Linked DNA regions of Xenopus tropicalis. The protein of the gene in region 1 purifies or fractionates together with the protein of each later gene. This does not show direct contact. Links are inferred from orthologs where the notes say so. Each region holds a gene or a part of one and is shown on either strand. Other genes may lie near its edges.

Region 1 (2,554 bases):
GCAGCCCCGGGAGTAGGAAGAGCCTCAGTCTGACCAGGGGAAAGGGAGCAGCCCCGGGAGTAGGAAGCGCCCCAGTCTGACCAGGGGAAAGAGAGCAGCCCCGGGAGTAGGAAGAGCCTCAGTCTGACCAGGGGAAAGAGAGCAGCCCCGGGAGAAGGGAATAGAGATGCATGAACCCCAAGATTCAGTGAGATTCTGAGAAATACACTTGGTGCATCATTTGGTGACAAACTTTTTACCGTAATAAAGCGAATTAGGGTTCAGATTGAGTTTGGGGTTCGGCCGTAGGGGTCTCTGTATCTGCTGCTGCCTGTAACGGCCCCATCCCAGCACATACTGAGGGGTATGAAATAATATCAGTGTTACTGTAGGTTGTGTTTGTGTAGAAGGATCATGGCTCCCCCCCCCCCCCATGGGCATTATTACCCCCTCACTGACACCAGATCTTTTTACCCCCTGTTCCAGATGCCCCGGCCTTGGCACATGTGACAGAGAAGGACCTGGACAAGTTTACCAGCCGCTCGGTCCCCGTGGCCCTAAAAGCCAAACAGAGGCACAACGTGACGCTCAGGCGCAGCCGCTGGCCCTGGTGGCGGAAACTGGGGGACGAATTTATAGAAGACGACGAGGTTCTTCTCTCTGATCTTCCTGTTCCGGAGCTCGGGGCCCTGTTCCTCGCTGGCACCAAGGACTGAGAACCTCATACCTGTAATGTTCCATGTTATTATTTTTATATATATTTATCATATACTTTCATTAATAACTCTCGGCCCTTGGTTTCCCTGCTGGAGGCACCATAGCAACAGGGGGATAATGGAGCAGGTCCTGAAAGGGGAGGGGTTATGGGGAAGTGCCCCTAAGGGGGGGGGGGGGGGGTTCACCTTAAAGTTAACTTTTAGTATGCTATAGAATGTCCTATTCTCAGCAACTTTTCAATTGGTCTTCTTTTTTTTCAATATAGTTTATTTGCCTTTTTCAGCTGGAAAAATGTAGACAAAAATGGTAAATAATTACAAAAAAACTGTAACAAATAAATAATGAAGACCAAATGCAAAGTTGCCAGGAATAGAACCTTCTATAACGTACGAAAAATGATCTTAATCTTAAAGGGGCAGTTCATCTTTAAACTCACTTACCCACCGATGGGGTTAACAGAGAAGAGGCGCAAGTCTGTTTCTAGGGTTTACTGTCCCTTTAATGTGCAATGATCCAACAATGTGTGGGAAATCTTTATTGCACCAACCGACCAATGAAATAACAGAACCAAGGCGGTTTATTTGGGAGGAGTCAGCGGCAAGCAAAGTGCACAGGCAGTGGGGCGGCGGGGGCTGTGAATATTACTATAAAGGAGCCAATCAGGGCCGATATCTACCTGCCCGTTACCAAGGATTGGCCGGTTTGTACCAGTGATATACAGCAGCCATACTGCGAGGCCCCGCCCACCCCCAAAGGCTGTGTGGGGATGCTGGGAATTGTAGGCTAACAATGGAAACCCCAGGTAACAAGTTTCTCCCCGATAGTGATGGCAAATTAAAGGGGAAGATATCTAACAGTTTAGTCGGCGGCGCTGTATATTGCACTGATACCGCCAAGTGTGGGTCGGTCACGCCGCTCGCAATGTACAAAATATAGAATCTGTGGTTTCGTTGGTTTCACACTCGGATATTACAAAAAAAAAGATAAAATGTACAAAATCAGGACGTGCGTCCGGTCTGTCGCTAACGCGTTGCCGCGTGGGTGTCGGGGAAGCGACATAATAATCCATAATTGTACCGACGTCCCACCGGCGGGGTAACGAGTCCGCTGACACTTTATCCACAAAGGCCACGTTATCGTTAGTAAATATATAAATATCCGTGGAAACCGCGTGCAAAGTGCCGCCATGATACATTCCTTGGGTTCCTCCATGGAGGAAAATATCAATAAATAAATAAAGTCTCCGAGTCCTCAATCCGCTCAATGTGATATCTTTGGTCATTTAAGGAATGGCCCCGCCCACCCTTGGGGGCGGGGTTTTGGCTGTCGGAATCCTCGGAATGGGAAATACAAATGCCTCTCGCTGGGCAGAGTCTCTCCGTGTCGGCTAACTGCTGGAGGGCCCCTGGTTCAGGAAATAGGTCATCATTTCCCCCTTGCCCTTCACTTTAACCACGCCCCTGCACTCCAGCTTGTAGTTATTGGCTGCCAGGACCTGCTGGAGATCTGCCGTCACCTGATTGGGCGAAAGGAAAAAAGAGGGAGACGTTAAGAATAGTGTCGGAAAGTTGGGGCATTTGAGCAATTAAGCTACTCTGGTTGCTAGACTCTCTAACCCTAGCAACCAGGCACAAACGAGGTGGAAGAAACAGGAAAAGGAATAAATATCAGGGCAGGGAAAAGGTATTAAGATTTGAGGTGCCCCCCTCACTTGTATTCGCTCAGGCACCCCGGTACTGTCCATCCGACTGGCCACGTTAACGGTGTTCCCCCAAATGTCGTACTGTGGCTTCCTCGCCCCAATGACGCCCGCGACTACTGGCCCGATGTTCAGCCCTGCGGAAAGAACAGAGTTCTG
Region 2 (3,665 bases), on another chromosome or scaffold:
ACATGGATTTATCTAAAGGCCACATTAAAGCTCTCCAAGAAGCAGATCTTTCTTCATCTCGAGGGATTGAGGCTTGTACTAACGCAGCAGAGGCTCTCTTACAGTGTATGAATGTGACTCTTCATCCTGGTAAGAGCAGTGCTTGCTATAAAGGTTGTGGTTATTGGCTCTCTGACCATTTACTGTAATGGTTATAACAGTGTTTTTCTGCTACATTGAGATACACTTATGGTTTTACATCCACGAGTATTTCTATGGTCAGAAATACACCCTTACCGTATATATAATATTACAGCCACAAGCTACAGTGTAGGAGTAGGAAAGAACAAAATCATGATAACTTATGTCATGTTCTGCTGTTGCCTCCAGTATACCATGGTGGTCCCCATTATCATCTGCATTTTAAGTCTTAACATGTAACATGTAAGCCAGCCACTGCAAAACTGATCTTCCGCCTTCTTGGCTTTTTAAGCACATCAACAGAATTGAAGTGCATATGAGTGCATATTTATCAAAGGGTGTAAAAAGAATACTCCACTAATTTCCTTTTATTCATTTCAACCTATGATAACTGTACCCCTTTTCAAATGATGTATGGAGATGTTTATGAATATTGCTCTTTTCAGCCTTTGCTAAGTATGCCCCATTTGTTAATCTGAGGTACCCTATTTGTTGGGCTACAATTTTTATAGCACCCAGATATTCACTGATCAAGCATGCTCAGTATAGGAAACTAGGGAACGACAGGCTGGAGTGTACTCTACAGATTCGTATTTAGATATTGCATCAGGCACACCCCGTGCGTTAGTAGTTTAAAAGGAAATAAAACAAAATAGTTGTGTAAAGAAAATGATAGATTTTATAAAGAGCTTTTTCTTCTGAATTTTCTTTGTAGGACACAAAATGCTTCAGGCTGTTCAGCAGCAACAGCAGCTTTTCAGTGACCTACGGGAACAGTTTGCACGGAGACTGGCCAGCCACTTGAATAATGTCTTTGTCCAGCAGGTATTTTCCTATCTGTTTTCACACTTTATTTCATACACAAATGTCTTCAGTATTGAAGTGTTAACCACAGTCATGAGTCATAATAAAGTCTCTGAGAATCCAAATAGAGGTTTTCTGTTTGAGTAGGCTTCCCCAGTATTTTTAAGTTGTGCTCTTATTCAGGTGCAGTGAAGTTCAGTGAATTCTGTTTCCAATATACCTTAACAGAAAGTATACAGAATGGAGATTCATTAAAGTAAAAAGGAAATTGCCAGCGCTCGGTCTAACCCATGCTGTAGCACTGACCAGCAGCTAGAAACACCTTAATGGTAGCACTTGGCCTAACCTATATTCTGGAGTTGACCAGCTGCTAGAAACAATAAAAGGACATTATTTGCACACACAAGGAGGGAGAATGATAGCCAGTGCACAGCTCGCCCAGTAAGAGGGGAGGGTTATTTTAAATCACCCAGAGCCATTTACTTTGCTTCTGCCTTTAAGTATGCCAGGCACCGAGTATAAAAGTTTTTTTTAGAATACCATTTACTTTTGATTGTCATATTTTGATTTCTATTAAAACAGTTCTGTTCCTGTATTTTATTTCCCATTAGTTTACACAGATGTTCCCTCAGTTATATAGCAGGTTCTGCTCCATGTCTAAGGCTGTGAGTACCTGGAATTGGACAATGAGATCTTGAGTTTGTTTTAGCAGTTGTCAATCTAAAATTCTGCAGTCCCTAACACTTAACTTTGTTCTTATTGTTTTTGGTGTTTCTGCTCTGCCGCTTGTATGTGCATACACATTGTACTAACTAGGTGATGCAGTTACTGTGTTCAACATATATATGCTTGTGTTTAAGTGCTTACTTGTTCCGTCAGCAGGGCCAAACCGATTGGAATCTGTTCATTGTTGGTCTAGGGTTAAGGAAGAGTGGAAATAGTGTTACAAACATAGATAAGACGCAATGAGAAATAAATGTTTCTGCTACCATTACTGTCAATTATTTCATAGAAAAAAAGACATCATATTCAGTATAAAAAATATATATATATTTTGTTAATGCAATAATGGCATTTGGCAGCTCATTGACCAGATTGTTTAATCTGTCACATCAGTCGCTGCCCCAGTGCTACACTCTAATCTCCCTACCACAAACACTGGGTCAGTTCCACTAATGATCGCCAATGATCCTACCTATTTTTGGACTGATGGAGAAACATACTAACTCCACGCTATTAGTGTATTGGTCAGAATGGATCCCTATATCCCAGAACTGTGAGCCACTTACACTAACCTCTGTGTCACCTTGCATTGATTTAAAGGGAAAATTCATCTTGATAAAATAAATTATTTATATTAGTACAGTAGACACCCCATTTAAGTTTTTCCAGGGGACCAGAAAAAAATTGTATAAACCACAGTAAAATCAGGAAAACATGCTAAAGCAACTAGAGTTTTAATTATTTAAAGACTGGGGTTTTTCTTTAATATACAGTTATAGGGGTAACTTAACTAAAAAAAAAACAGTTTAGCAATAATGACTGTTCCATCACAGGTAAATATTAAGTGTTGTGCCCCAGACAGACTCATACCCCTGATTTTATGTGTTAAAGCCAAAGGTAATACTTGTTAAACTCTATTAGCTCTGTCCTATGAGTGAATGCATTCTGTAAGCTAGGAAGAAATTTTATATATTGTATCAGTGAATAATAGCTCTTTAACGTTGGTGCATATCACAGAGGTACAGATGAGACTTTATGCTAATCTCTGGCTTAGATTCTTTTTTCTGCAGGCCAGGTAATAGATTTAATGATTTCCCCATTGCATTAACCCTTAAAGACCATGTAAAACATCAAAATAAAATTAACAGTGGAGCATCTTTGGTGTTTCCATTTGTTGTTTAAGTTATTGCCTTACAGCCAATATGTAAAGCCTAGTATGTTTTACAGGATGCCTTACAGAACAGATCAGGAGGCTAAATGTTGGTTAATAAATGATTGCATTATACTGCTGCATGCTCTTGTTGTTTGCTGGTTTTCATGTTTGTGTTTTGCATTTACAGTATTCCATTTGCATAACAGGCAGGAAAATTAATCCTAAAACACTGATTTGAGATATCAAGCTCTGCATAATGTTGCCTTCTTTGCAACAATTCCATTTTGCAAAGAGGATTAGGTTTAACAATGTCTCCCCTAGGCACCTCATCCCTGCATCCCTTAGCAGCGTCCCTGAAGGGGGAATGCTGCCATTTTTTGGTTTTCAGCAGCTACATCACCAAGGGGGGGAGTTTTGCATAAAGGAAAAAATTTAGTATACGCTATTTATTTTTTATTTTTTTCCAACTCAGGGTCATGATCAAAGTTCCACTCTTTCTGCTGAAATGACTTTACCAAATCACCATCCTTTTCACCGGGACCTGCTACGTTATGCCAAGTTAATGGAGTGGCTGAAAAATACAGAGTATGTTCGATATGAGGGACTCACAAAGGTTTGTGATGCCAATATTTGTTGCTGTGCCATTATTATTCTTTCTTTAAACGCTATAACACTGACATTATTCAGTGTCAGAGACTGTGAACGATTTAGTGATTTTACATAGTGAGAGAGTTAAATAATGCTACTATGATTCCATAGGTGGCTGAAAAATTAGATTTATTACCCCACCTGACTCACCAGAGAT

What was found. The genes of interacting proteins can lie anywhere in the genome.
Region 2: the proteins of iqcb1 (region 1) and exoc1 purify together in Homo sapiens (affinity purification with mass spectrometry; 3 studies listed by BioGRID and IntAct, counting the BioPlex papers as one, with this or other methods). This does not show direct contact. The link is inferred for Xenopus tropicalis from reciprocal best matches to the Homo sapiens genes IQCB1 and EXOC1.

The regions. Positions count from the first base shown.
Region 1 is NC_030685.2:88,565,447-88,568,000, reverse strand, and holds the end of iqcb1 (IQ calmodulin-binding motif-containing protein 1), read left to right. Parts: intron 1-465; coding exon 466-695; 3' UTR 696-1,943; downstream 1,944-2,554. Other genes in the region: adcy5 (adenylate cyclase type 5), read right to left, coding at 2,084-2,212, 2,408-2,532. UniProt on the Homo sapiens protein: Involved in ciliogenesis. The function in an early step in cilia formation depends on its association with CEP290/NPHP6.
Region 2 is NC_030677.2:40,666,763-40,670,427, forward strand, and holds part of exoc1 (exocyst complex component 1), read left to right. Parts: coding exon 1-129; intron 130-895; coding exon 896-1,005; intron 1,006-3,332; coding exon 3,333-3,473; intron 3,474-3,665.